2 linked regions of the Canis lupus familiaris genome follow. The protein of the gene in region 1 interacts with the protein of each later gene in a biochemical or structural test. Links are inferred from orthologs where the notes say so. Each region holds a gene or a part of one and is shown on either strand. Other genes may lie near its edges. The genes, in order: REPS2 and EPN1.

Region 1 (15,106 bases):
CTCCCCATAGAATACCCCAACTTGGGGCTCGATCTTATGATCCTGAGATTATGATCTGAGCCGAAACCAAGAGTCGGACACTGAGCCACCCAGGCGCCTCTGTATATTTACTCTTTTTTTTGTATATTTACTCTTAATTATTATAGTAGCTGCCATTATTGAGTGGCTACTATGTTACTGTGCTTAGCACTCTAGACAGCTGTTTTGCTTAATCTTTACAAATGCTAGGAGTTAGGTGAATTATCCCCTTGTGCAGATGAAGAAACTGTGGCTCAGAGAGGTTAAGCACATGCTCTGGTTATATACCAAGCAAGCACAAATCCTGGACTGATTCCAGAGCCTCTGCACTGTAACTGATGTGCTCTGGGGCTCCAGTTACTGTAGGATGAATTCTTGACTTGTTCAGTAAAACACAAAACACTGTTGGATTCTTACTAGCTCATTCCCCACATGGATTTGGGTACTTGCTGTGTGCTTCCATTCAGCTTAGGCATGGGAAAGGACAGTGAAGCAAAACACATTGAGCCCTCCAAGTGCTTACACATCAGCTCCATTTCTGTCTCTCAGAGGTGACTTGGGTCATGGATTTTGGTCATCGTTCTTGCAGAGAAATTCAGCTTTTTTGGAACTTCTCTCTGAAACTGATTGTGGCATGCCATGATGGGCTTTGCTGTGGCCAGTGTGCTGCTGGCCATTGGTTCTGCATCTTCTGTGGCTGGATGTGACCACATGGTTTTTTCTAATGTGCCCTTACCTAGTAGAGATGGAGGTCAGGTGAAAGGTTGGCACCAAATGACCTTTAGAATATCAGTGGGATGCTGGAGATTCCCTAGAGGCCAAAGCATGATTGTCTGCCCATCTGCCTACAGTTTAGCTGCTGCCTTTGTGTTTCCCAGTCTTGGCATCTGCCTGAATTCTTGAGTAATAAATAAAACTGGAGTTCCTTTTTCTAATCTGTCAGCATGAGTATTACAGAGTTTATAAAATAAATTAATCAATTATCCATACCTTTAGCAATTAGTTCTGCAATTAGACTACTTACTTACTCTTTGGAAAAAAAAGGTTTATTTATTTATTTGAGAGGGAGAGGGAGTGTGCATGAGCGAGGAGAGGGGCAGAGGCAGAAAGAGAGGAAAAGGGGTAAGTTGGATGCTTAACCGACTGAGCCACCTAGGCACTCCTAAACTACTTAATTTTTAAAAAGATATTTGACCTTTTTCCCCAATTTTATTGAAAGGTAATATACATCTCTGTGTAAATTTCAGACGTACAGCACGATGGTTTGATTTATATATATTGTGAAAGATTACCACAATAGGTTCAGCTAACATCCATATTCTCATATAGATAAAATGAAAAGAAGGGGCCCCTGGGTGGCTCAGTCTATTGAGCATCTGACTCTTGATTTCAGCTCAGGTCATGATCTCAGGGTTGTGAGATCGAGCCCCACATCAAGCTCTGGGCTGGGCATGGAGACTGCTTGGGATTCTCTCTCTCCCTCTCCCCCTCACCAATAAAAAGAAAAGAAAAAGTGTCCTTCTTGTCATGAGAACTCTTGGGGTTTTACTCTCTTAATAACTTTCTTATATATTGTACAGCAGTGTTAGCTATGGTCACCATGCTGTGCATTACATTTCTACTACTTATTTATCTTATAACTGGAAGTTTGTACCTCTTGGTCACCTTTCTCTAATTTCCCCTCCCCTCTGCCTTTTTTTTGTTGCAAATTTGACACTTACTTCCTTGCTTTTAAGGTTTTATTTTTTAAGATTTTATTTTTTATTTTTTTATATATTTTTTAAAATTTTTATTTATTTATGATAGCCAGAGAGAGAGAGAGAGAGAGAGAGAGAGAGAGAGAGAGGCAGAGACACAGGCAGAGGGAGAAGCAGGCTCCATGTACCGGGAGCCCGACGTGGGATTCGATCCCGGGTCTCCAGGATCGCGCCCTGGGCCAAAGGCAGGCGCCAAACCGCTGCGCCACCCAGGGATCCCTATTTTTTTTAAAGTAACTCTACACCCAAGGTGGGGCTCAAACTTAAAACCCTGAGATCAAGAGTTGGATGTTCCACCGACTGAGCCAGCCAGGCACCCTGCAAATTTGACTTTTAAAAACAAAAGTCTTACTGCTGAAGATTTTGCCCAGCTTCAAATATTTATTTATTTTATGAAACCATATGGCAGACACCCCTATTCCTCCATGGTAAATGGACAAGAAAACAGTTAAGAAGCCTAGTTAGTTTTTCGTGCAGCACCTGTGGCCTTTTTCAGAGCAGGACCTTGGAGACTTGGTTTTTTCATCTCTTAAATGAGTTCAGGCCATCTATGGTCCACAGTTGGTCTGGACTGGCTACATAAAAATTACCCAGGGAGCTTGTTAAAATAGAAGTTTCTAGTGCTCCACCCCTAGGAGATTCTAATTAGGGAGGTCTGGGGTAGTATCTAAAAGTCTGTAATTTATAAAAATTCCCTGGATAATTCTCCTGTGCAGCTATATTTGGGAACCACTGGGCTTAGAAGGTCTAGAACAAACAGAATTGAGTTGGGAAGGAATTTCTGGTCTGTTTGAAGATTCAGGTAATACTTACGTGCCTGGAGCGGGATCCATATGGGGAAACTAATGCAGTTATGATGCAGAGGCAAATTGGAGCCAGATGATAGAAGATCTTTAACTGGCTGAGTGTCCCTAAGGCCTGTGGTGCTATGCCATAGGCCTTAGGGACCAATTGAAGGACTTTGAGGAAAGTGTTTTGATGAGAGAAGGTGCTTTTACAAAATTATTTCCTTAGTGTGTGCAGGGTGGATCAGACTGGGAAAATAACTGAAGGCTAGAAAAAGACCCACTGCAGTTTTTGCAGTGCCCCAGGTAGGAGGTTTAATAATGAGCACATGGACTGAGATGGGAGCTATGGGACCTTTGCAGAGCTAGCCTGCCTGGGTGGCACCGGAATCTGGGGCATGTTGTTTTAAGCTACTTTAAAAAAATCCATAATTTATCAGTATTGTGTTGTTCATCTACTTTAACTATTATAATGAATGAATTTATTGTGTTCATGTCCAGGAGATTTTAAAGGAAGCCCAGTAAATAAATTCATGTAGAGAAGTAGTTGGCAGCAGCGACAGCTGCTGTTGCAAGGAAGGAGGGAGGAAATGAGAAACAAAGGGAGGCCTTTCTTGCCAGGCGGCAACCCCATCCTTACCCTGCCTCCACATGCTTGGGGAAGGGGGTCTAGCAGAGGCTCCCCCGAGCTGGATCTGCCAAACAATCTGTAGAATGCTCCTCTCAAAGGATTAGGTGTGGAATGTGGCATTTGGCATTTGAGTCAAATGAAATATTTTTCCTTTGTTCCTCTAAACCCAGTCGGTAGGTCATTGTTTCCCAAAGTGTGTTCCACAGAACATAGTTCTGCTAGATATTAATAGGAGTTACATGAAAATAAGAAGTTGAAGCCAAATCATTTTGGGAACTGCTGGGTTAAGTGAAAGCAATGGCTTCCTTTACTTCACAGGATTTCAGAGTGTGTGTGATATGCTATGTGTTCTGTGAATTTCAAGAAGGGATATAGGCTATGCCATGTTCCCTAAGCTTATCTGTTTTCTCTAGGCCAGGCGTGACAAACTATGGCCCACAGGCCAAATCTGTCCCATCATCGTGTTTTTGTAGATAAAGTTTATTGGAACACAGTCACACCCATTATTGTGTTGTCTGTTTTTTTTTTTTTTTTTTTAAAGATTTTTATTTGAGAGAGAGCCAGACAATGAACAAGCAGGGGGAGCGGCAGGCAGAGGGAGAAGGAGAAGCAGGCTCCATATGGAGTAGGAAGCCCAATGCAGGGCTCCATCCCAGGACCCTGGGATCATGACCTGAGCCAAAGGCAGATGCTTAACCAACTGAGCCACCCCGATGTTCCATTGTGTTGTTGTCTTTGGCAGCTTTAGCACTCAGTAGCAGTGTAGCACGTTTGTATTGGAGACACACAGACCAAATGGCCTGTAAAACTGAAAATATTTATCTGGCTCTTTACAGAGCCTATCCTTGGCTAGGCAATTCATAGAACTGATATTCCCTGGAACTCATATTTGAGAGATACTGCTATAAGAAGATAGAGGTGGGTTGTTCTAGTCCTGCTTGTGATGAATCTGCTTAATTTTATTCAGCTTTTATGCTGCCATATTTCTTTTCCTCTTGCTTTAAACTCTTTCCTCTCAACCATTTATCCATTGTTGAAGATCAAAATCTGGCTTCCATGTGTCATTGTTCTTTCCTTTCACTTATCACATACCATCAATCACCAAGGATGTAGCTAGTGTCAAGTTTACATAGCTCTCAAATATGCCTATTCCCCACTTCCACCAGACTGATTTAAGTGACCATCATTTTTTGTCTTGTTTTCATTTTCAATGTTTTAAGTGGATTGCCTTTGCCCACTATGGGTTGCTTCTAATCCAGGCAAGGGCATATCATCCATCTTGATAGAGTTGTTTCGTATTTTAATATGTGGAGGAAAAAGGGAGCTGCTGAGGCCCCCCTGTTTCATGGGTTATCGTTCTCTCCAAGTTGTTAGTTACCTTAGAAAAGTCTGTAGAAATAGCAAAGAAATCTCCCAGGCTTTTTTGGCTTTCCAGCTGCTAAGCCTTACACTATTTTCCTGAGGTAAAGTGAAATAGTTTCTTGCAAAGAGGGGCTTTTGTACCTCTAAATCTCATCTTTAGTTTTTTGTTTAGTTTAGTTTTGTTTTTACCACAAAGCTCATTTTCTTTGCTCATCTCTTTTTCTGGGATAATGTCTGGCTCCAGTGAAGCTCTACCTTTCTAGGACCTTCGTGATTCCCATGCTTCAGGCCCCTCACAAGATTCCACTCCTCTGAATGTTCAATAGATGGAGTCATTTAGAATCAGTCATGGGGTGGGGAGGGGAGGTCTTGATGTTCCTCCCAAGGAGGTTGGTGGTTAGATTCCACCTGACATAGCACCGAGGAGCTGTTTGTTTTCGGTGGTGGAGCTAGAAAACCAAGGCCTTTGGATACAGTTTCAGGAAGGTAAACATATAAGTGGAAAAAAAATTGTCATACCCTTTTCACAACTTGCTTTTTCATCCTTATCAACTCCCACTCCAGTGTTGTTTGGATTTTTAGAGATGTTTAAGGGAAGAAAGCAGAGGCAACGATAATGATAGTCTACTACTTTTGCTGTGCTTAGAATCCTTATTTTTGTTGGAGAATCTGATTTATTATTTCCCCCGTATTTTCCACGAGAGGGAGACTGCTCATTTCCCCAGGAAAGGAAGCATTAGGGCAAATGCTTCTCTCTGCCTGATGATGGAGGAGAGAGCTGAGCAGGTGAAAGGCGGGGAGACTAATCAGTCACTCCTTTTCTCTGTGACTAGCTGGCAGGATATGTCAGTGCATACCTGTGGTCCTGCAGAGAGCTGCATGCATAGACTTGAGGCCAGAACATTTGTGTTCCAAGCAATAGATTTGGGGATGGAAGGTAAGAAGGGGCATCAAGTCCAAGTTGTGTTCTTCCACACAGGTCAGGGGAAATCCTGCATTCAGGAGTTTATTGGGCCCTCACTCAGCCATTAATAAAGCTGACATTGGACCTGTGGATCTTTTCTTTTCTTTTCTTTTCTTTTCCTTTTCTTTTCTTTCTTTTCTTTTCTTTTCTTCTTTTTTTCTTTCTTTTCTTTTCTTTTTTCTTTCTTTTCTTTTTTTCTCTTCTTTTCTTTTCTTTCTAGAAAGAGAGTGTGAAAGAGTGACTGAGTGTAAGAGCAGAGGGAGAGGGAGAGAATCCCAGGCAGACTCCACACCTAGTGAAGAGCCAGTTGTGGGGCTTGATCTTAGGACCCTGAGGTCATGAGCTGAGCTGAAATCAAGAGTGGGCACTTAACCTCCTGAGCCACCCAGGTGCCCCTGGGCCTGCAGATCTTAAAGTATGACATTATTTGTCAGAACCCTGAGGGAAGGTGGGTAAAGTCTTACTTACATTCCTCATACTCCTGATAAGGAATGGCTCCTGGATAGCTTTGCACAGGTGTTGCCTGAGTGTTTCAAACTCAGTGTGCCTGAAAGTGAGCTCCCCTTACATTTGCTTCTCTCATGGTTCCTGTCTTGGTGACAGATCTCTTACTGTCATGGTATCCTAAATTGGTGTTCTGGGTACTGGAGCTTCCTTCCTCACTATCCCTGTGCACTGGGCTGCACCCTACTTATCACTCAGGTCTTAGCTGTGATATCACCTTCATTCAAGTCTTTGCTCACCCACCCGGCCTGGGCCCTCATACTTCCTCACCAAAGTCTGAATTCCACTGAAGCATGCTTGTCCCATCATTTCTCTGCCTTTTCTGCTAGACTTCAAGCTTCTTATAAGAAAGGTCTAAGTATCATTTATCTTGAATAACAGATCTAGCACAGGGCCTGCCTGCAGTAGCTGGTCAATAAATATTTCTTGAATGAGTACCACTCGGTCCCAAGAGTACCTGAGGCTATATAGCATAGTGGTCACAAGCCCGACATTGGAACCTGAGGCCTGGGTTCAGACTCTGCTGTTTGTGTGATCTTGGGTAAGTTCTTCAACTTCTTGATCCTCAGTTTCTTCACCAATTAGATGAGGGTAATAATTCCTTCCTAGGGCTCTGATGATGAAATGCTTTCATCTATGCAGAACACCTGGAGAAATGTGTGACACCGTGTTTGGTGTTTCAGATAACTATCGACAACAGTAGCAATACAGTTATCCTTAATGGAAAGGAGAAGGCTATAAGCAAAACTTGGAATGAGAAATAAGGCATATGGAGTGCTTGCAAAATGGCTTTGGAAGAGGTGGACTGGTGATAGGGAATTGAGGTTTCTAGCTAGGGCAGTGCAAATGTAGGAGCAGACGGGCTTGCTGTGGAAAAGAATGAATGGTGATGGGAGGAATAGGGTGGGAGATCCAAAGACAGAATCTTGAGAAATCCTACATCTGAGGGATAAGAGGGGTCAAAACAGGAAAGAGAGATAATAATTACCAGTAGGAGATTGTGCTTCATCAGATGCCAGGGACAGGAGTTTTAAAAAGATAGTCAGGGGTGCTGTGCTGGGCAGAGGCCTGGGAAAAAACTAGAAGAGGCAGCAAGAATCCGATAAATAGGGGAACATTTAATGCCCCTGTCTGTTACAGAAGAGGTGGAAGAAGAAAGAAGCCAGGCTCTGGAAGGAGTTAGAAAAGGCCGGGTTAGGAACAGGATGGACATGTTAAGGATGATTGTTGTGCTGCAGTGTGTGTTTCTGAAATGCATATTAATCTGTGGGTAGAGGACTGATGTCACTATAATGAAGAAGTCACATTAGTTCATATGGAGCATTTTTTCTCAGCATGTTAACACTTTGCATTATTGGCTAATAGCAGCTGAGTGTAGCAAGCCTCTTGGAGACCGGGAACAGCACATGGCATCTAGTCTCCCTGTACTCTTCTGCTTGACTCTTTGGCACCTGCTCAGTCTCAAAGGGCTTTGGAGGCAGTCCTCACCATTCTTTGTGCATTTGTCCATCGATTCCATACTACTTGGTAGCCTCAACCCTTCTGTTTACTCCTTCCATTAGACTCCCCCACTCCTGTGTTTTTTAAGGTAAAGAGTCATGTCTCTTAGAGTGTTTTTCTTAGGAATTTAACATTTTTAAAAATTTCAATTTTTTTATTATTATGGTTACTATTTTTGTTAGTGCTTGGGTTAAAATTTTAACAAATTTCCCAGCCTTTTTTTTTTTCGATAAGCCTTATTTTTTTAGTTTGAGCTTGTAAAACATTAGTTTTTAGCAACACCTGTGTCTAGTTATGGACATTACTGCAACTCCTTTTCCTAATATTGAACAGTACTGGAAGGGGGCATGGGAGGGAATGGCAGGGTCTAGGGAAGATTTTCTCCGGGGTCCACAGACTTGACCACACTTGGCTGCATGTTGGTCTAAATCACTTACGCTTAGTGACATTTTCTAAGTGCTCTTCATTATATATTTAGGTGGTTATGTTTTTGCATTTTTATCTTCTGTATGATATTTTGCTACAGTCTGAACAAGTGTCTGAGGCTGAAATACACCCCCAGCTGAACAGAGCTCCCTCCCAGGTTGCTGAGAGTAGTCCAACGAAGAAGGTAAGGCCTGCGGGAAGGTGCCCCTGTGATGGCACTGTGAGCCCCTCCCCTGGGCTTCTTGTCTCTATTTGCAAATCTGTTTTGCTTTGGTGTCTGTGTCCTGACCTGAATGGTAATGATCCAGCTTTCCTATAATTTGGGCTCTTTGTGAAGATTAGGGTGCTGATGATTCTTGGGCCTGACCTTGATGTCACTGACCGTTTGTACTTCCCTCTTCAGCCTTTGAGCTAAATATGGTGGCTTTGCTTTTGGCAAGTTCAGGAGGTGTGGTGGGGAGGGCCTTTGGCAGAACCCTGCAGGTTGCTGAGTGTCTAGGAGCACCTCTGGTGGGGGCCGGGAAGTCTGCCTTCCTTTGTCTGTGTGCCATGGTCCCCTCTTGCATCCCGGCATCTTCACCTTAGCCCACTGGTGTCACTGAGTCCCAGATTACTTACTCAGAAGGCACCACTCACTTTTGCTCTCTGTTTACCTTCTTACCCTCTTCTGGCTGCACCCTGTTTTTCTAAGGCCCTCCTCTGATCAGAGCATGGGCCCTGGGCCTGGGAGCACAAGTGAGGAGGGGACTCCTAGGAAGCCAGCTGGCTGTCTCCTTCCAGAAGACATTGTGGCCCTTAAGCTTGACTTCATGTATGAATTGGGAGTGGAAGAATGAGGAGGTGACTGAGACTATCACAAACTTCAAAGCTTACAACATGTTCCCACAGGCCCCAAAGTGAGGCAAGAGTGAGCTTTGTCTTCAGTCAGAAAAAGCCTTGTGGTGTGAAATGCACATAGCATTTAAAAAAGGAAGGGAGTTCCCATTGGAATCTGATACCTGTGTCCTTTCAGGTGCAAAAAGCAATAATATGCTGCAAGCATGGAAAGAACAACAAAAAAAGAAAGGCTCCTGGAATCTGATGCCCGTGTGCCTCCTGTGTCATCCTCCCCTCCCCCCCTTGTGAAGTCATGAGTCAACCTTACATCCTCAGGTGTGGAGTTTGAACAGAGCACACACCTGACCTGAGGATGGGCATAGAAGGAACATGAGGACATTGGCAAGATGAAGGGAGCATTTCTGTTGTGAACTTCGGGGTTTTATTGTTTTGTATTTAATCTGCAGGACATACCACATTCTCAGCCTCCATCAAAGCCCATCCGAAGGAAGTTCCGACCTGAAAACTCAGCTACAGAAAGCCAAGAGCCTCCTAGCACTGTTGGGCCAGTGTCGGCAGCGAGCGGGAAGCCCCACGCAGCAGTCCAAAAGTATGTACGGCAGATCACGGGACTCAGACACCAGCTTTCCAGTTTTTGTATGTGTGTACCTGGAAATCTGTTTGCATTTATACTCATGGCCATAGAACGGTGTGATTTTATGGTTGTAGTTTTGCCTTCTTGTCTCTGTGGTGGTACTCTTCCCGGGCACCCAGGAAGAGACCTATGCTCTAGAACCTAACCTGAGCCAAGGGCCAAGCAAGTACAAAGATGTGCTGTTGCAGTTTGCTTTGATTTCCCTCTCTTCCTTTCTCCTCCTCCTCTCCTTCCTGCCCTGCTTCCTTGTGCTGGTGCGCGTTTTCCTAGGAAGAAGACAGTGATACAAATGGCCCTTTTTCCTCTTTGCCTTCTGGTGCTCCCCCAGGGCAAATGGCTAGCTTTGTGACCCTCAGACCCAATTTTAAGTACATGTGGCTTGTGATTTCTTTTTATTCCCCACGAAAAAAAATTTTTTTTCCCCACGAAAATTTTTATTGTCGATCATCTCAGCACAGATGGTCACATGTGGAGCCTCCAAAATAGCTATGTGACTGGCTGTAACAGTTATGTGAGGGGGGCACCCATGGACAAGGCTAGGAACTGAGAGAACAATGTTCCTGACAAACCAGTTTTCTACAGAGGGTTTTGTTTTAAGAAAACCTATCCCTTGCCTCAGTTTTTCTGTAGTGGAATTAAGCAGTGTTGAGAGCAGAAACCTGCTGCTGTGCATAACTTCATAAATGAACTTGCCTGGTCACTAACATAAATGCTCAACATACGCCCTGACACTGCTCTAGTGGCCTTGTAGATCCCAGGGGCTGCTGTGGTTTTCTCCTGCTTATACTGTTGTAGAGAAAGAAGCAACAGATTCTGTGGGCGCGACTTGCCTCTGAAGCCAAAACCCCATGATGAATCCATACAACACTCTTCAGATAATGTTTTTTGTGTCAGTTCTTCCAAATAGACAGTTCCCTAGCAGTATCAATGCATAAAGGAAATATATTTTGTCCTTAATGGCCACTGAGAGCTTTGACTGTCTTTCAGTCACTGTCAAGCCTAGGGGATGAATCCATGTCAGGGACAAGGATGGCTAAACTTGCTTCTATGTGCCATCTTGGCTTTCCACGGTGGTCTCTGCTTCACATCACTGTTAGTCAGGGATGGCTACAGCACCCTCTGTGCTGGATGGAGGGCAGCTGGCAGAGCTCATGCAGAGGTCTTTTTCTGTTCCTTTCCTTTATCTGTGTGTTTGTTTTTAAAATAGCTTTCATTTTTTGTAGATTTTATTTATTTTTTCATGAGCGACATAGAGAGAGGCAGAGACATAGGCAGAGGGGAGAGGCAATACAAGATTGGGGAGCCCAGTACAAGATTTGATCCCAGAACCCCGGGATCATGACCTGTGCTGAAGGTAGATGCTCAACCACTGAGCCACCCAGGTGCCCTTTAAACAGCTTTCTTCAGATGTAATTCACATAGCAATATAATTCACCTTTTACATGTGCAATTCAGTGGTTTTTAGTATTTCCACAAAGTTGTGCAACTGTTGTCACAAACTAATTTTAGAACATTTTCATTGCCCCCAAACGAAATTCTGTGGGTTAGCAATCACTTTCCATTCCTGTCCCATGTCCCAGGCAGCTAGTCATCTACTCTGTGTCTCTCTAGGTTCGCCTGTTGTGGCCATTTCATGTGAATGTAATCCTACAGCACACGGTCTTCTGTGGCTGGCTTTTTTTTTTTTTTAGTTAGCATAATGTGTTCAAGGTTTATCCATGCTGTAGCCTGAGTCAGTACTTGATTCTTTTTTATTGCTAAATAATGTCCCATTGTATGGATATACCACATTTATTCATTCATTACTTGATGGACATTTTGGTTGTTTTCACTTTATTTTTTTTTTTTTAATTTTTTTTTAATTTTTATTTATTTATGATAGTTACAGAGAGAGAGAGAGGCAGAGACACAGGCAGAGGGAGAAGCAGGCTCCATGCACCGGGAGCCCGATGTGGGACTCGATCCTGGGTCTCCAGGATCGCGCCCCAGGCCAAAGGCAGGCGCCAAACCGCTGCGCCACCCAGGGATCCCGGTTGTTTTCACTTTAAAGCTGTAAAGAATAATGCTGGCATACTATGTGTGTACACGTTTTAGTGTGGGCTTACATTTTCATTTGTCTTGAGTATGTACCTAGCAGTGGAATTGCTAGGTCATATGGTCACTCTATATTTAATATTTTGAGGACTTGCCAAACTGTTTTCCATGGTAGGTGCAGCATTTTACAGTCCTACCAGGAACATATGAGAGTTCTGGTTCCTCCTGGTATTTTTGGTCAACACTTGCTGCTATTTATTTATTTTTTAAAATTATTACAGCCATCCTAGTGGGTATGAAGGAGTATCTCATTATCTTTTTGATTTACATTTCCCTAATGGCTAATGATGTTGAGCATCTTTTCATGTGCTTATTGGCCATTTGTTTATCTTTGGAGAAATGTTTACTTGATCCTTTGCCCTTTTCTGCTTGGATTATTTATCTTTTTATGTTGAGTTAGGAATTCTTGACCTGTTCTGATTACACATCCCTTGCCAGATAAATGATTTACAAGTGTTTTCTCCCATTCTGTAGATGGTCATTTCACTTTCTTGATGGTGTCATTTGCAGCTCTAAAGTTTTAATATTGATGAAGTCCAGTTTATTTTGTTTTCTTTTGTTACTTGTGTCTTTAGTGTCATGGCTTGGAAACCACTGCCTAACTCAAGTTCATGAAGATTTTTTCCTGTGTTTGCATCTATAGGTTTTATAGTTTTAGCTCTTACATCGAAACATGTGGTTAATTTTGAGTTCATGTTTGTGTATAGGGTAAGGAAAGGACCCAACTTCATTCTTTTGCATATAGATATCCAGTTGTCCCCACATCGTTTATTGATGGAGATATTTTCTTTTATTTGCCAGTTTAGTGACTGTCCCTCATTGTGATACTCTCTCACTAGTTAGGTGACCACATGGTGTCAGACTGAGAGACGCTAGTGATCACCAGGAACACAAGTAGTGCTGTAAATGGCAGGGATGTAAGCTTTGGGTTAGAGAATTTCATACAGCTTGTTATCATTCCCAGACTAGTTTATTTTGGAGTGATAAGGAGCAACTTAGAATTTATCATTTTCTTAAGCCCTGGAGAGAGAGACAGCCAGACACATGATGGTTAGTCTGTATAGTTCTTTCTCAACCAGGGTTCTGGGAAAGAATGAAACTCTGATGCCCTTAGACATCCATTGTCTGTAGGAACTTAACCTCTCTCCTATGCATCTAGAGTGGTATTTACTGTGTATTGTTTTGGGGGAAATTGACAAAAGAGTGACAAGTAATTTTCTTAACTGTCTAACAGAACACTGGTTAAGAAAGGCTAAAAAAAATAAACTAGGGATCCCTGGGTGGCGCAGCGGTTTAGCGCCTGCCTTTGGCCCAGGGCGCGATCCTGGAGACCCGGGATCGAATCCCACGTCAGGCTCCCGGTGCATGGAGCCTGCTTCTCCCTCTGCCTGTGTCTCTGCCTCTCTCTCTCTCTCTCTCTCTCTCATGAATAAATAAATTAAAAATCTTTAAAAAAAAAAAAAATAAACTAGTTGGAAAATGGTCATCAGGTCTTCGGGAAATGAACATCAGAACTGACCTATTGTAAGAAACAAATTCTTCTTCATATATCATCATTGTCTATTCCATTTAGGGCAAAGGAAAAATAAAATAATCTTTTCTAAGTGAGCTGCTGAGTCCAGATTATAACTAATAAACAACTCTTGGATTGTGTCATAATTACTGAGCTGCTTGTGAGGACAAAAGTGGTTTTTTAAAAAAGATTTTATTTATTTATTCATGAGAGATCCAGAGAGAGAGGCAGAGACATAAGCAGAGGGAGAAACAGGCTCCCTGGGAGGAGGCTGATGTGGGACTCGATTCTGGATCCTGGGATCACACCCTGAGCCAAAAGCAGACACTCAACCACTGAGCCGCCTAGGTGTCCCAAAAATGGTTTTTTTAAAAGAAATAATGTGACTTACTTGTTTTTTTCCCTCATGTCTTGTACATCTTGTATAGATGGACCTTGGGAAAATAGAATGGTTTGAACAGTTTGGAGAGAGAGGGTGTTGTATAACAGTACTATGACTGAAGCTGTTCCAGCTTCCATGGTTTTTGCTCTTTTCTGTAAACTCTGGAAGTGTCCTGGACCACCCCAGAGCATGCCCAGCAGCCAGTGTGACAGTGTCTGCTTGCCTGCATGATGTTCTTAGTGTGCTTGGATTCTGTTTTCCTTCCTGCTGCATGCTTAATGGTACCAGATTGTCTGTAGGGTCAATGAGTGGCATTCCTAATAAAAACCTGCTATTTCCAAGTAGAGAAAAGGTAATACAAGTTCACTTCTTAGACGCTGTACTCATAATTCCGTGGGAGAAATTGCGGCTCAGGTTGAAGGCTAAGAAGATTTTTCTTATCTAGAGACCCCAGTTTACATTCTTTCAAATATTGGTTCAGCTGCTTGAATGAAACCCAATTAACAGGCACTCAGATAAAAATAGAAATTGACTTCTTTCTTGTGTAGAAGTCTAAGTTGGTGAGTGGTCCCAAAGTGTAGATTAGCTCTGTGCATGAACCCGGGTACTTTCCTGTATTCTTATTCTGGATCCCTGTGGGGGTTGCCTTTATCTTTATGGTTGAAGATGGCTCACTAACATGTTCACATTCTAGACCCCGGAGTGGGGATGGAACAAATGGAGAGAAAACAGGCTATTTTTAAGGGGATGCCTCAGAAGTGGCATCTCTGATTGCTTTGGCCCAAACTTAAGTCATATGGCCTTACCTACCTGCAAGAAAGACAGGGAAATGGAATTTCTAGTTAGAGGGCCATGTACCTCACTCAAACTGAGAATGCTAGGCTACTGCAAACAAGAAGGCACAAGAATAGGTTTTGGAGGACAGTCTGCCACTGTCCTTGAGTGGACAGTGCCTCATGGTGCTGCTGTTCTAAATTGATAGATAGCATGACACACAACAGAGCCAGACAAAACAAATGTCTACGTAAGTGTTACTCCTTCAGTTTCCTCCCTGGAAGCCAGGCTGGTTAGAGTACAGCCTGAAACAGTACAAATATTAGGAGAACCTGAAGAGACAGACTCCAGAAGCAACTCTTAAGAGGGTGAGGCAGGTTAAATGCTTTGGTGACCCCTTCAGAGGTATTCTGGGCTTGATCCTATCTTTGTGTTATTTAGGACTCCTTTGGTAGCAAATGATAAAAGGCAACTTGAGGTAGCAAAACCATACTCTTTATTATTTTTTAAAGATTGTATGTATTTATTTGACAGAGAGCAGGAGAATACAACAGGGGGAGGGGTAGAGGGAAAGGGAGAAGCAAGCAGACTTCCCACTGAGCAGAGAGCCAGGACTCTGGGATCATGACCTGGGCTGAAGGCAGAGCCACCCAGGTGCCCCAAAACTATACTCTGTATTATAAGGATATAGAGGTGACCCGGGGAAATCAGGGGCAGGAGTGGATTGGAAGAAAGGATTGCAAACCTTCTGGGGCTCATTCTGATGCCTCTCAGTTTTCTTAGGATGTTTTTGACATTTTTGTCTATGAAGACTTCTCAAGCACCTTCAACTGTAGAGATTACTGTGCTGGGCCCAGGCTGAACTGAATTATTAGCCATAACTCAAATCATTCGGAGGGAGAATCTGGTCAGCTCAGCAGGGGCC
Region 2 (15,753 bases), on another chromosome or scaffold:
AAATTTAGCAGATGTTCTTGGCTGGAAGAGAAACAGTTCAGGAACCTGGAAGGCAACTTTCTGACCTTGATGGAAATGTGTTGATTAAACATGCATCACTTGGGGTTGTGAAATCTTGAGTTCATCTGCCCCTGAAGTCAGGCCTTGCTGTTGAGTGCTGGTGACAGGATCCTGGTGGTTCTTTGAAGACAAGAGGGAGACTGAGGTGGGGGGTGGGCCAGAGCTGTCTTTGGAAGCAGGGGAGCCCAGTAGTTATTCAGTGTGAGTTCAGCTCAGCTGTGAGCACCCGCCCACTGCCATGCCAGGCTCCCTTCCCCGTGCAGGGCCGAGTCCTAATCCCCCCCCCCCCCCCGCCCCCTCATCAGGCTCCTGCCACTGGGGCCTCACCCCCATGTACCCACTCCCTTATACCCACTCCCTTGGCAGAGTCCTATTCTGCCTGGTCTGGTGGTGAGTGCATGGTAGGAGAAAGTGGTATTCTAGGCACAGGGAAAGATTGCTCAGCCTTTGGGGGTCTAGTGTGGCCTTCAGAGAGGAGGTGTGTGCCAGGTGGACCCTCTGAAGGAGTGGATGTGTGGTCAGGGAGGAGGAGCCTGTCCATCCTTTTTTTTTTTTTCTTAAGATTTTATTTATTTATTCATGAGACATAGATAGAGGCAGACACACAGGCAGAGGAAGCAGGCTCCATGCAGGGAGCCCAATGTGGGACCCGATCCCAGTTCTCCAGGATCAGGCCCCGGGTTGAAGGTGGCACGAAACCACTGAGCCACCCGGGCTGCCCTGCCCATCCTATTGGGAGCGGATGTTGCCAGGGGCTTGATTTTGGGCACTGGGATTGATTGGTATCCCCATTTTCTGGCTGTGTGACTCTGTACGATAATAGTCCCCTGCTTCAGAACCGTCGTTCACTCAGGGTCTGCAGTCATTTATAGCTCTGGTCTCAGGCCCTATTTCAGGTGTACGCCCCATGTGGGTCATCCTCATCCTCCTGTGTCATAGATGCGAACACATAGAGCCTCACTTGGTGCTGTACCCCAGATTTGAACCCAGGGAGTCTGACCCTGGTGCCCTAAGCTCTGCATGCTTCCCTGGAGTGGATGGCACAGCAGATAGCAGCCAAGGCCAGCTGGCTGAGGGTCATCTGGCTCTGCCACTACTCCCTACTGGGGTGATGGAATCTCTGCTTTGCCTAGTCAGCCATCGTTCAGAGCTTTGGTACCTGTGTAAAGTCCCTAGCTTGCCGAGAGCTGCCTGTGGGAGGCACAGGTGTTATGGGCTTGGGGACCCCTCTTTCTGTGTGTGTGACTCCAAGATAGAACCAACTTTCTCTGCCTCAGTTTATCCTGTCTGGATAGGGCTTTGGAGAGCACGGATAGTAGACTTCATGAATTTACCTGTGGTGTCTGGCCTGTGGCCTCTGCGTAGCCTACCTTGGACACGCTGGATCTTCATGGTCTGCCCACCCCCCCACAGGCCCCACTCTGATGGTGCTTAGCTCTGGTTGAAGTGGCTGGGGTGGTGTCAGGAGAAAATGCACTCTTTTTTGTGTCCAGTCACTCAGTGTCTGATGCTTTCTGCCATCTTTCATTTCACCTGTCCGACCCTAGCTAGGTCAGGAAGAAGTGTGGAGGGGCTGCTTGGTGTGGACTGCTGAGGTGGGCCGGGCCATGCTGCTTTTGGTAGTGGGCTCTGGCCTTTGGAAAGTCAGGAACTGGTCGGGCCTGACCAGTGGTGTTTCTCTTCCAATGAGCCCTGATAGTGATCTGGGGCTCTGGGTAGCTCACACCTCACAGGAGGCCCCTGGGAATTAAACGACATGCTTTTGAAGCCAGTGGACAACAGGCTGAGCCACCTGGCAGGCACTTGTGTCTGAATCCAAAATTGAGTGGATATGGCAAGATTGGGGTGGATGCAGAGTAGTCATTAAACCATTCAGCCGACAAACATGAGCCCACTGTGATGTCCCTGAGGTCAGCAAGCTGAGTCGACTGGGCATGTCCCTGCCTTCGCAGACCCAGAGCAGCAGGCCAAAGAGGGAGTTGCTGGGTTTTTGTGGTTGCAAAAAGCTCGGGACCACAGAGAGAAGGACCAAGGGTCTCAACGGGAGACCTGATGTAAACGTCTGGGTGGTAGGAATGGCATTGGGGTTGTGATCTGAAAGACGGAGGGGGTGTAGGTGTGTCATCCTGATGTCTTACCAGTAAGGGCGAGTGCTGCCAGGACTTGTGGTTGGCAGGTTTGAGGTGTGGCCCCTTAGTGGGGACCCTCGCTGTGGTGCCACCCTGGTGTCGTGGCACATCCGAAGAAGAGCTGCTAGTGTGAGTCTTAGGGTCTGGATAGGTTTGGGAGACCGTGGTTTTGTCAGCGTTGCTGGGCCACCTTGGCTGATATAATGGGCCAGGCCCTGTGCACACACCCCGGGGTCTTGGTTAAAGACCCTGTGCTGGAAACCAAAGCCTATGTACTCCCCTTCCCCCCAGGAGTTGTGTCCACCGTGGTCCCGGACTCTGCCCACAAGCTGTTCATCGGGGGCTTACCCAATTACCTGAACGACGACCAGGTAGATCCCTCGCCTCCTTCTGGCTTCTCCCCTCCCACTCTTTACCTCAACCAGCCCTGACGGAGTTGCGGCCCTGCCGCAGGTCAAAGAGCTGCTGACGTCGTTTGGGCCTCTCAAGGCCTTCAACCTGGTCAAGGACAGCGCCACAGGGCTCTCCAAGGGCTACGCCTTCTGTGAGTACGTGGACATCAACGTTACGGATCAGGTGAGCCCGGGCCCCTGCCCTGCTGTGTCCACTCCCAAGTCGCCCTCCTGGGGATGGGTGGGAGGAGGCCAGCTTAGGTAGGGTCCTGTGTGGGGGACTGGGCCCCTTCCCCTTGGTTCCGGCTCCTGCCAGGTGCTCACTCTTTGGCCTTTCCTCTCACCACCAGTGCCCAGCTCTGGGGTATTGGGGCTTGGTGGGAGGCGTCAAGTCCTGCACCTGACCCGCACCTTTCTGCTGCACCCCCCCCCTTGTCCTCCGCACACAGGCTATTGCGGGGCTGAATGGGATGCAGCTGGGAGATAAGAAATTGCTCGTGCAGAGGGCAAGTGTGGGAGCCAAGAATGCCACGCTGGTGAGCCCCCCGGCACGTCATCTTCCATTGGCTAGAGGGATACTGGGGAGGGGCGGGGCGGGGTGGCCTGGGGGATGCTGGGAGCAGATCCTCAGAAGCTTCGGCTCCAGCCCTGGCTTTCCTGGGCCTTCAGGGGCGGACGTGATTCTCTGGGTAGGCCTCTGGGGGTTCGGTGTGGCCCTGGCCGTGACAGCCCTGCCCTCCCCCCTTCTCCCCACAGAGCACCATCAACCAGACCCCCGTGACCCTGCAAGTGCCGGGCCTCATGAGCTCCCAGGTACAGATGGGCGGCCACCCAACGGAGGTCCTGTGCCTCATGAACATGGTGCTGCCCGAGGAGCTGCTAGACGATGAGGAGTATGAGGAGATTGTGGAGGATGTGCGAGATGAGTGCAGCAAGTATGGGCTTGTCAAGTCCATTGAGATCCCCCGGCCTGTGGATGGCGTCGAGGTGCCCGGCTGTGGAAAGGTGTGCATGTGTGCATGGGTACACACCAGTGCTATGACTCACATGGGTATAGGGTCCCCCAGGAGTGTGGTCTTGCAGCTGTGCTTCACAGCTTGGCTTTGTCATGTGATCTTACATATGTGGTTCGGTCTTGTCTGTAAGTGGGGAGAAAAGTGCTAAAAACAGAACAGCAGCAAACCCACTCGAGTCTTCTGGGTGCCAGGTACTCCCTGAGCTTAACCTTTGCAACATGAACTCTCATGGCAGCTCTCTTAGCCCTTGCTCAGAGGATGCAGGCCACATGGTCTGATTCCACAGCCCACTGGGTCCTGTCACTTCTGGCACTGTGCTAGGTGTCAGCACCTTGAACCCTTCTTGAGAGGCAGGGAAGAGTGGGTGACTTAGCTTTCCCTAGCCGCTCACCTAGTGATTCAGGCCTTCAAGCAGAACAAGTCCTGGGGCCAGCCTTGTCAAAGACAACATGTGTGATAGTAGCTGGAAAGGGAGTAGAATTGCTCTGCTCTGGATGCTGTTCTTAGACAGGAATAGACACCTCTTAGTCAAGGTTAAGAGTTGATATTAACCAGGCCCAAGTGATAATAGGTTATCCCAGGTAGTAGGGTCCTGAGCAGGGAACCCAATGAACATAGATCTCCTGGGTTATGAGCCTGGTGTGTTTGGGGATGGTGACAAGGCTGGCATAGTCTAAGCAGAGAGCAGTGGGAGATGAGTTCTGAGGTTGGGAGCTGGGGCCTAGTGTGGCAGATCTTGTAGGCCTGTGTGGGTCCTGGAAGAATGTTGGGTGTTCTTGAAGTGAGAAGGAAGCCTTTGAAAGTTCAGGAATGTGGTCTGTTGCCTTGCACATAGAGTTCCTCATAATCAAGTAGGCGTGGACAGGAATTACAGGGAGGTCCAGGTCTTACTCCAGTCCTGCAGAGCTGGGTTCTGCAGGCAGGGAATTCAGAGGGGGGTAGAGGTGGTGGTGGTATGACCTGGAACTTTGGGAACTAACAGCTTATGGTCACTTGGTCGGAAGATGGTGACTTGATGGAAAGTAGCAGCAGAGGATGGAGAGAAGTCAGTCCATGGATTTGAAAGACACGTTACCTGTAAACACCCAGATCCTGGTGGTTGATTTGGGAGGGGGAAGAGGAGTCAAGATGCTCAGATTCCTGGGCTTTGGCAGCTAGGTGGAGATGGCAGGTGAGAAGCAAGGGAGATGAGCAGGTTTGGGGGTGGGGGGTGGGGGTCAGTGTTGGGGAAGAGTGGGCTGTCAGTCTGAGGTCCTGAGACACCTCATTAGAGATGTGTGAAGCAGTGAGGACGGAGCTGCATTCCAGGCATGAGGGAAACATTTCTGATAGAAACAGATGTCATCAACACACTGATCCTCATTTTGGTGTCAGCTGGATAGGATTGCCCAGGGAGCAGTGGAAAGAGAGCCAGGTACCAAGGGACAGGGTTGGGGGGGGGGTGATGAAGGGATGAGCAGCATTTCCTCTCTCTCCTCCCGTGCTCTGCTTCCCAGTCCTCACTGGTGTGGTGTATGTGGTGTGATGGAAGCACCCGCTCCCCTCATGCCTCATGGGCGCTGGGATGGATCCTGGCTCCTGAGGGGCTGAGTCAGTATTTGTGGGAAGGATGAATGGGAAGACCGGCCTGGTGTCGGAGATCCTCCTGTTTTGTTTGTAAACTTTGTCTTTCTTTTCAAACATACATAAAAGTAGAAGTACCACACTGACCTACTATGGTAGGTCACTTTAGTTCCATTGTGGCACATAGAGTAGTATCGTCGTGTCCCATCATCCAGCTTCACTTGTCATTCTTAATTTCCCAACTTCATTTTTCCTGAAATAATTCAACGCATATCTCCTATATTTTATCTCCAATAATCAAGTGTATTGCTTTAGTATCTGAGCTACTAGGATTTGGGGCCTGGTAAGTCTTGCTCTTTGAATTCCGTGCTGTGCACTGTTCGATGTGTGGCCCCATTGCCAGTCTCCACCCTGTAGATGGGGGCTCCTACATGGTAGCACTACACTCCTCCTTTGTGACAGCCTAAAACCTCTCCAGATATTGCAAAATGTTGCTTGGGGACACATTTGTGCTGGTTGAGAACTGCTCTAAACTTTTAACAGAAAACTTTATTTTATTATTTATTTATGATAAGCACACAGTGAGAGAGAGAGAGAGGCAGAGACATAGGTAGAGGGAGAAGCAGGCTCCATGCACTGGGAGCCTGATGTGGGATTCGATCCCGGGTCTCCAGGATCGCGCCCTGGGCCAAAGGCAGGCGCCAAACCGCTGCGCCACCCAGGGATCCCTTTTAACAGAAAACTTCTAAATAATTATAATGAAAGTACAATATCATTGTTACAATAAGAAAATTATTCTTAGGATTTACTTAAATTTGTATTATAATTTCCTTGAGCGTCTCAAATGTCTTTTTATACTTGATCCATTTAAATATCCAAACAAGGATTCATGCAATCTTATTTAGAACTTTCTTAAAACTTAGCAGTTCTATGTAATGCCCCCCCCCCCTTTTTTTTTTTGGTGAGTCATTTTGTTGAAGCAACAGGGCATTTGTCTTACAGAATTGTCATGTTGTGAATTAGGTTGGTATCTTCCCCCTCACCCACTCCCTGTAAACCGGTTTTTTTTTTTTTTTTTTTTTTTTTTAACTGGTGTTTTTTTGTGTTTTTGGTTTTAAGATTTTATTTATTCATTCATGAGAGACAGGCAGAGACATAGGCAGAGGGAGAAGTAGGCTCCATGCAGGAAGTCCGATGTGGGACTTGGTCCCTGGACTCCAGGATCACACCCTGAGCCAAAGACAGACGCTCAACCACTGGGCCACCCAGGCATCCCCTAAACTGGTGGTGTAAACAAGATGAGATACTTGACCGGATCAGTGTTTTTATTTTTTTTGTTGTTGTTGTTGTTTCTTGCTTTGAGTCAACTTGGGTTTGAATCCTAATTTCTGAGCTTTCTTTGTCTGTCTCTGGGGAGAACCTGGCCCTTGGGGAAGCTTTGGGGAGGGAGGAGCACCGGCAGGGCGGGTGGAGCTCGTTGCCGTGGGTGTGGCTCTGGGCTCCAGTCACGCTCTGATGCCTCCCCTGAGCTCTGCTCTGTGCGCTCTGTTCTTTGATCCTGGGATTCGAGAGTACATTTGGGTAAATGCTCGCAGATCTGCAGGAAGGCCCGCTGCCTCCCTCTGTCTGTCTTGCAGAGTTGTGGGTTCTGTGCAGGCTAGCTGGTTGCTGGGGCTGAGGCCACCTTGCTTTTACCACTTGCCTCTTACTCCCGCAGATCTTCGTGGAGTTCACCTCTGTGTTTGACTGCCAGAAAGCCATGCAGGGCCTGACCGGTCGCAAGTTCGCCAACAGAGTGGTTGTCACAAAATACTGTGACCCCGACTCTTACCACCGCCGGGACTTCTGGTAGAGGTGGAGGGGGAGGGTGGGGGAAGGGCTGGCTGGGGGTGTCTCCCCCTCCACCCCCCCTTTTCCCCCTCTGAAGAAGATGGGCAGAGGAGTGACAGCCGAACGACAGCCGACAGCCGGCAGCAACTGGAATGGCAGCGATCGGGGCGGGGAGGGCAATGGGGAAGTGTGCGCACAGGCCCACACACATGCACCCACAGACACAGAGGGAAGGGGGGCGGGGAGGGGGTGCACAGCAGGGCGGGTAGGACCCCCATGGCCCCTCCCCAGAACAGCCTCTCCTCCCTCTCCTACCCGCCCCCGTCCCCACTGTAGAAACATAAGTGTGTTTATATTTTATGGCCAAACTATTTTGAATTCTGTTGTCCACACTCCCCCGTGCCCTGCCTTATCCCTCCAGGACCACAGCTCCCGTCCTCCTGGCCTCCGGTCCTACCCCCGTGCGCCCCCCCCCCCTCCTGTGCCCTCCCTGGTTTCTTACGTAGTTGACTCTCCTCTCTAGTCTCCCTGACCTGCGGCCCCCGTTTCCTCTCTGTGGCAGTTTCATATTTGCTAAGACGAATTTGCTCATTAAACATTTTGTTGTATTTTACTTTATGGGCCTGCTCGGTGTCCAGTGTGTATGAGTCCCCCAGTCTCTGACCTCTCCCCTCGCGCCCTTGGCGCGCCCTCGGGGCACACCCTGCCAGCGTGGCCGCTTGCTCAGGCCGAAGGGGGGGGGCGTGGCGGCAGGCTAGTTCGCGCGGTGGAGAGGCGGTGTTGGCGACGCCAGTTCCCCAAAGCGCCGCAAGGTGCAGAGGGCGGCGTGGCCGCGTGAGCTGGCGACTACACAGTCCCTTCCCCGCCTCCTTCGGCCGCGCTGGCCGGCCCTCATCCTTCTAATAAGGCCTGCTCTCCGAGGTTGACCCCTGGGTTTTGCTGGGGCGCCTGCGCGCCGGAAGTGACGCTGAGCGGGGGGGTAGGGCCGCGGAAGTGGCGGCTGCGTAGGCTCCTTGCGGGCTAGTACGCCGGGTGCTGCGCAGAGGGAGGAGCGCGTCGCCACTTCCGCTTCCGGTCCGTCGCCTCCGGTTGCTTCCCGTCCGCTCAGCGGCTCCCCTCCCCCGCCCGGCTCTCTGCGCCCCTCCCGGGCGCCGGGGCGGCGGGGCCGTCGGCGTGCGGCCCACTCCGTGCTTCCGTCCGTGCACCTGAGTGCGCCTGTGCGTCCGCCGCTCGCGGCCAGGCGCGCGCCCCGCGACACCGAGGCCGAGCGGGGGCAGGGGGTTGCCCGCCATGACCCCCCGGAGCCCGGCGTGAGGGGCCGAGGTGAGCGCGGTCCAGGGGCGCAGCGGGCTGAGGGCGCTCGGGCGTCCGTCGCGTGTGGCCCATTGGCTCAGCCCCGCGGCCTTTGTGTGTGTGCGGCCAGCCGGCCTCGGGTGTCCGCCGGCCTGCGCCCTGGCCTCGGTTGCTGCGGGCGTCGCTGTCCGCTGGGATCCGCGCGCGGCGCTAGGGGTGACGGCCGGGCTTCGTGTCTGCAGTTCCCGGGTCTCGGGGCTTACCTGTCGCCTGTTTCCCATTCATTGCCGTCCTCGCGCTCCTCCTTGCAGCCCCGGGCCCCCCTGTGCCCTCCCGCGGGTTCTCGGGAGCCGAGCTCCGCGAGCAGGCCCCATCCGTGCTCGCCGGCCTGTGGTATATCTGGGGTGACACCCAGGCCCCCTCGCCCGCCAGGTCGGGGCTGTGGGTGTGCACGGACGTGGCCCTGCGGTCCGCCGCCTGGAGCTCTGGATTCCATGATTGCTCACAGATCCCGACCCGCGCTCTGTGTTCTGTGAGTCCTTTGAACGCCCCTCGCAGGATTTGCCCTCGCATTTGTCCTCCGTCTGATCTGATAACCTTTCTTTGAATCCGTTTATTTTGGAAAACTTGGTCCCATCCTAAGCAGTACCTGAAATCTTAGCTGTGTGATGCCCTGACGTTTTTTCTAACGCACTTTCCTACAATTGCACTTAGAATGGAGCATCTTCCATTACCACACTTTTGGAAATGCTCTTTGCTTTTGGTAGTGACTGGCAGGCAGCGTTATTGAGGTCCCACTATGTGTGGGACAGGGAGCTAAGCACTGTATGTACCCATCGTATGTAATCACCAGGCCTGCCAGGTAGGAATTCTTTGCTGTGTGTCAGAGTCGTGCAGACTGGCTCCTGTTGGTAGCTCACAGCCAGAGTTTGGGTCCAAGCTTTGTGTGTTCTGTACCATGTTTTTCTCCTGTAAATTTGCAGTGCCAGGTTGCTATCCTTTCGTTCTGGGTCTCTGTGTTTGCTCTGTGTCGTCTGCCACGTGTCTGTCTCCTTTGGCTTCAGCTTGCTGTGTCTCCTCCGTCCAGGTTTCTTGACGCCTCTTTCTCCACTTGTTTGTCTTGTTCCTGTTCCTCTGCATCCTCTGTGTTGGTCCCCTCAGCTCTTCACCTCAGTGTTTCCGGCTGGCCTGCTCGGCCCCCTGACTGTGTGTGTCTTTGTGTGTGTCTCAATGCCTGAGTTCAGAGCTGGGGCTGGCTGCCTGTCCCAGGATGTAGGCGGGTTGTGGGAGGCTCGTCGGCATAGATGTGGACTGTGGTTGTCAGAGTCCACTCTGGAGCCAGGGAAAGGCGGCTCTTGCTGTGCCTCAGTTCCCTACCCTGTGAGATGCTGTGAATCATGGAGTTGGGAGGATTAGTTGAGTCACTGTGCATAAAGCACGGGGCAGAATGCCTGGCCCAGAGTAGGGTCATGTCACTGCTTGCTGTCACGGTCACTGTCTGCCTGCTTCCCAGCCTTCTCTTTCTTCCGTTGCCTTCGTTCCAGCACCAGTTAGTTTAAAAGTGTAAGTTTTGGTGTCCAAGCAGCCAGAGGTTGAGTCTGCTGCTGTGCTGGGTGTGACCTTGGCTGAGTTGTTAAGCCTCCATGAACCCTTGTCTTCTCGTCAGTTAGAATGAGGCTGGTGGCATTGGATGAGATAATGGTCATCTTTTGGTCCAGGAGTGCCTGGCATGCTGCAGGGACCTAGGCAGCAGCCATGCTCATCCTTATCTCTCCTCCCTGAACCTCCAGCTTTCCCACCCTTGGGACGCCTCGTACCCCTGGCATTCCCCGCCTCTCGCCTCTTTGTTCCTTTCTGGTCTCCTCTCCATGTGTCCTTGTGTCTGCCTCAGGGTCTGTCCTGTCCACTCCTGCTCTGGAGGTTTTCCCTGCCCTCCCTCCTTCCAGCTCTTCTGAGTCAGCTGCTCTGTTTGGAAAAGTCACATCCATGTAGACGTGGTGTCTGTCCCCCTGGAGTTCAAGGGTCGACTGTAGCTACAGAGTTGGACTAGTATAAAGTCACGAGGGTGGCACAGTCTGCCTCTGGAGCCCCTGGGCAACAATGACCATGGTGTTTGGGTGTGAAATTTGGGAATCTTACGCGGAGCTCTTGGGAGTGACCTGGGCAGTGAGGGAGAGGAAGAGCAGGGTGTTCATCTCGTGTTCACAGCATACTTCCTATCCACTGGGTTACGGGATAAAACCCCACTTGTTAGAGCGGAAAATGGAAATGCCAGAGTTCCTGGCCCACCCAAGGCAGGTGGCCGGGATGTGCCTAGCTGAGGTGTCCCAACCTGTGATCCTCTGTGGTACATTCTGCCTCGCTGAGCAGCACCCCCAAGCAGGAAGGAGCTGGGCATGTTTGAGGAACTGAAAGGTAGACTGCCTAAGTCAGGGGTTAACAGAAGCCAGAAGCTTCTAGGCCCCAGGGGCAGCGGGGAGCCCCAGGAGGGTGTGCACCAGCCAGCCCCAGGTCCCACTTGTGTTTCCAAAGGGTCTTTCCTCCTCAGATGCGGTGACCCAGCAGCCCCTGCCGCTGTCTGCTTCTTCGAGCTTCCTCCTCTCACTACACCCCAAGGGGCTCGCCACCACCTGCCACCATGTCGACCTCGTCCCTGCGGCGCCAGATGAAAAACATAGTCCACAACTACTCGGAGGCCGAGATCAAGGTCCGAGAAGCCACAAGCAACGACCCCTGGGGCCCATCCAGCTCCCTAATGTCTGAGATCGCGGACCTCACTTACAACGTCGTTGCTTTCTCTGAGATCATGAGCATGATCTGGAAGCGGCTCAATGACCATGGCAAGAACTGGCGGCACGTCTACAAGGTCAGTGCCCGGGCTGCAGCGGGCTTCACGTGCACACGTCTTCATGGGCAGGTGCGGGGCTCTGCTGGGAGTGCCATCAGGTCCAGCCTTCCCAGTTTGCAGGAGAAGCTGGAGTACTAGGTCTTCACGTGAAATCTCTCTCCTTTTGTTCCTCTTCTCATTTAACAAGGGCAACAAACACAAGGGTTTAAGATTTTGAGGCCTGTGACTTAAATTCACTTTGAAAACAGCGCATTCACAAGATTCATCCACATAGAGGGTCGAAGCAGGTGCATGGTGTTCGTCCTTCTGTGCACACACAGCCCTGGTCCCTCTTGGGGCAGCTGGTGTCCTCAGCTTGTGTGTGGTCTTCCAGGATGACCCGTGTGTGCGCGTCCCCAGGCACCAGGGAATTTGGGGGCCGTGGTACCATCCTGTATCAGAACACAGAAGTGCACATGAAAACCGGTGGATTTGATCACATCTAAGCTGTACCCCAGTTCTAAAAAAAAAAAAAAAAAGATGAGTTTAAATATTACAGATGGTTTCACATCAGAATATAGCAGATTTGTTACCTTTTTTCCTTTCTCTCTCCTGTCACCTGCTAGTTACCCAATGATGAATTTTTAAGTGGTCTGTGATGTATTGCTTCTATGAACAGGACTGCCATGGATATCCTTGTATGTTTGTCATTCTCTAGAAGTGGAAGTTCTGGGTCGAGGGGCGCATGCCTGTGTCATTTTGGTAAATGTAGGTAGAGTGCCCCTCAGAGAGTCTGTTGACTGGTCCCCAGTGACACGTGCATGTGTCCTCTTTCAGTGAACAGACAAGACCATGGGTGGTGGTCAAAGGGAACATGTCTTTGGGCAATGCTCAGTGAGATGGTTTCCTGTCTTCTATCCTGGGGCCTGGTGTCCTCCCCTTGGGTTGGGAATTGGCATTGGGCATGGGCTGGGGCAGGTGCCCAGGTCCCACTCCTGGCTGTGTGGCTCAGAGCGGCCTGTGGACCTCCTTCCATGTGAGGGTCTGGCTGCTGGGGGTGGAGCTGGTGTGAGGTGCAGCAGTGTCAGGGAGTCCTCTTGCTGCCGACGCCTTTGAATGTTGGTTGAGGGCCTACTCTTTATGGCCACGGACCAGGCAGATGAAGCCCCAGACCCATGGACTCCAGCAGGGGCCTGTGTTGTCCACGCTCTGTCCTGTTCCTGAGACCTGAAAATGCTCTGGCTCATTTGTATGCCCATCTCAACAAACCTGGGGTGGGTCCTCATTTCCACAGAGTCTGTGCTGCCTCAATTATTTGGCTCTTTGTTGTGAAGGACTGGGTGGTGTTTGTGTAGCTGAGAATCAGGGAAAAGGTGGGGAGTCTGGATGAGCCTTCGTGTGGAGGTAAAGGGAGGGGACAGGACTGGGAGGGCCTCTTGAAACCTTGAGAGCAGCTTGGTGGGGCTCATGGACCGTGTGGTAGGGAGATGAGCCCTATGGGGCTCTGCTCTGCTGGAGACATGCTGCTGTGGGCACAGAACCCCCGTGAAGTACATTTTTTGGTCCCTCTTAGGAGGGGACACTGAGGCACAAGGAGGGCAGGGGGTGGGAGAGGAGCCCCATTCTCCTAGCTCAGTTGTGTCACCTCCTGCTTCAAGGACTTAGCGGTCTCAAGTTTTTTTTTGTTTTTTTGTTTTTAAGATTTTATTTACTTATGAGAGAGAGAGAGAGAGAGGCAGAGACACAGGCAGAGGGAGAAGCAGGCTCCATGCAGGGACCCTGATGCGGGACTCAATCCCGGGTCTCCAGGATCACGCCCTGGGCCAAAGGTGGTGCTGAACCGCTGAGCCATCGGGGATGCCCCAAGTTTTGTTTCTTAAACCGAGGTCAACACGCTATGGCCTGTGGGCCAAAGCTGGCCTACCACCTGTGTTCGTAGGTAAAGTTCTGTCGGTGCGGACAGGCCTGTGCGTCTGCGGCTGTGTCCTCTGTCACATGGAGCTGAGGGGTCAGCACAGGGGCCGTGTGGCCTGAAAAGCTGGGCTATTGATCACCTGGGCCTTTTAGAAGAAGGTTGCGGTCCCTGTTTTAGACTGACTCCCATATGCCAATGTTGTTCCACCTCTGAGCAAGTGGTTTTGAAAATTAACAGAGGCTGTTGGGTTGTCCCGCTGCTTGCTTTTGAGAAAATGTTCACTTTTGCTGTTGCGGCACCCATCTTGAGCATACAGCCTGATCTGCTCTCTTGCGTGCACACACCTGTGTAGCCAGCACCCAGATGGAGACAGAGGGTGTCCCTGGCTCCCCCAGGCTTGCTCAGCACACCCCTCCCCCAGAAGCATCCTACCCTGCCTTCTGTCTGCCAAGCTCGTTCTAGAACTTTCCATGGGCTCATGCACATGGTTCTTTGTGTCTGCTTAGGTTGGTCCCTGCCACATCTGGGAGGTTTCTTTACATTATCTTGCTGCGTGTGCTGCTCGCATCACATGAGCACACTGCCTCATACATGTGCATTTGACTCTTGGTGGGTGTTTGGGTTATTTCCGGGTTCACTGTCTATTTAACTGTACTTCGAAAGTTTCCAGAGCCCTGGAAACGAGTTCTTATAATTTTTTGGGTGGGAGTCCCATCCTGGACTGAGGCAAGGTTTATCTGGGATCTGTTGGTCTCACATAGTTTAACTGTTGGTCTGACCTGCTGGGAGACTGGTGTGTGATGTGTGCTATGTGCTGCCCTTCTAGTCCGAGCACAGCTGGCCCAGGACTGGTGGAGCCTGCCTGCCTTCTAGCCCAGGTGTGACTGGCAGCATGATTGCTTCTTTCCTTTCCACTGTAATGCATAAACACCCCAAGGGCTGGTTAAAGACTAATCTGTGATTACAGGCACACACCTTCAGGAAGCCTGCCAGATCCAGGCCTGGCTCCCGTGGGTGGCAGGGAGTTAGTGCTGACCCACAGCAGGGCTCCCTGGCAGGTCCTGCAACTGCTGAGCCAGCTCAGCTGAATCAGCCAGGTCCTCCCTTTGTGTCACCTTGTTCTGGGGCGCACACTGAGGTGCACCCTTGTCTGCGGCCTTGTGGATTTTTTTCTCACGTGTGTCTCTGTGCGTGTGTTTAAGATTTTATTTATTCATGTGAGAAAGAAAAAGAAAGAGTGCGGGTATGCGTGCGCACAAGCTTGAGAGACAGAGGCAGAGGGAGAATCAGGCTCTCCACTGAGCAGGGAGCCCGATCCTGGACTCAATCCTTGGACTCTAGGATTTGACCTGAGCTGAAGGGAAATGCTTAACTGACTGAGCCATTCAGACACCCTCTCATTTGATTTCAACTTGTTGAAAAGAGACTTTGTTCTCCTGTCCTAAAACACAAAAGCTATCACAAGGTGCTCCTGCGTCCCTGTCCTCTTGTTCCTCCTGTTCCCAGGACACACATGTCCCCTACAGAGAGCCAGGATCTCAACCACCCCTGCAGGCTCGGCACCTCCCTCCAGACTCCCAATTCGGGTAAGGGAGTTGCCTCCCTGTCATCCTCAGAGTGGGAAAGTCTTAAATTGGAGGTGGTGACACTTCCCAGGTGTACAGGACGGTAGGGGAAGCAGCTCCATTCCTGTGTCTTGGGTGCCTTGAGTGTTGTTTAACAGGCATGTCTCTTTGGCTGTCTTACTTTGGGTTTTCCTTTTAGAGAAATAGAGCGGGGTCTGCACCCCTCAGGGAAGCCCAGGTGGGGCTGCAGTGACCACACCTGTTATTTCCCTACTTATGTCTTTTTATCGAGACACATGTAGATGCCATGCCGTATGAGTCACCCTCATAAAGCGCGCAGTGCCGTGGCATCGAGCACGTTCCCAGGGTGGGCAGCTGTCCCCGCCGCCCTGGTTTAGTGTATTTCTGTCATCCTGAACACAAACCCCTTCCCATTAAGAGTCACCCAGCCCCTGGCAGCCATGAACCTCCTTCCTTCGTGGATGTGCCTGAGGATGTCTCACGTGAGCACAATCGTGGGCCGTGTGTGCTCTGGCATCTGGTTACTTACACTCAGCATGTCTTCAGGGTCTGCAGGTGGCAGCACACAGCTGTGCTTCGTCCTTTCTTATGCCCAGGTAGTGCCTGCTGTGCTGATGGGCCACGTCTGTTTCTCCACCTGCTGATATTATGTGGGTTGGTTATGTGGGACTGGGATCCTGGCTGCCTCGTGAGTGACTGGTGTGCCCCCCTGCCCCGAAGGCCATGACCCTGATGGAGTACCTCATCAAGACCGGCTCGGAGCGTGTGTCTCAGCAGTGCAAGGAGAACATGTATGCTGTGCAAACGCTGAAGGACTTCCAGTATGTGGACCGTGATGGCAAGGACCAGGGTGTGAACGTGCGTGAGAAGGCCAAACAGCTGGTAGCCCTGCTGCGTGATGAGGACCGGCTGCGAGAGGAGCGTGCCCATGCGCTCAAGACCAAAGAGAAGCTGGCACAGACTGCCACTGGTGAGGCCTGCTGCCCCCAGGAGGTCCAGCCCAGCCTCCTCCACCCCGGCTTTCTCAAATACCCTGGTGGCCAAGGGTCTGGGCTGCCTCCTTGCCAGGTGCCTTGTGTCCAGGTGCTGAGCCCTCTTGCTCCCCTCCTTCCGAGCCAGGTGGGCTAGAGTTCAGCTTTAGG

Evidence for each region.
Region 2: the proteins of REPS2 (region 1) and EPN1 form a complex in vitro, tested with the Homo sapiens proteins (3 studies listed by BioGRID and IntAct, with this or other methods). The link is inferred for Canis lupus familiaris from reciprocal best matches to the Homo sapiens genes REPS2 and EPN1.

What each region holds. Positions count from the first base shown.
Region 1 is NC_049260.1:13,356,415-13,371,520, forward strand, and holds part of REPS2 (ralBP1-associated Eps domain-containing protein 2), read left to right. Parts: intron 1-8,047; coding exon 8,048-8,131; intron 8,132-9,230; coding exon 9,231-9,373; intron 9,374-15,106. UniProt on the Homo sapiens protein: Involved in ligand-dependent receptor mediated endocytosis of the EGF and insulin receptors as part of the Ral signaling pathway. By controlling growth factor receptors endocytosis may regulate cell survival.
Region 2 is NC_049222.1:102,832,084-102,847,836, reverse strand, and holds the start of EPN1 (epsin-1), read left to right. Parts: upstream 1-8,111; 5' UTR 8,112-8,313; intron 8,314-8,684; exon of another isoform or gene 8,685-8,815; intron 8,816-10,815; exon of another isoform or gene 10,816-10,831; 5' UTR 10,832-10,921; coding exon 10,922-11,149; intron 11,150-15,331; coding exon 15,332-15,581; intron 15,582-15,753. Other genes in the region: U2AF2 (splicing factor U2AF 65 kDa subunit), read left to right, coding at 2,481-2,560, 2,643-2,765, 3,031-3,129, 3,338-3,586, 6,878-7,012. UniProt on the Homo sapiens protein: Binds to membranes enriched in phosphatidylinositol 4,5-bisphosphate (PtdIns(4,5)P2). Modifies membrane curvature and facilitates the formation of clathrin-coated invaginations. Regulates receptor-mediated endocytosis.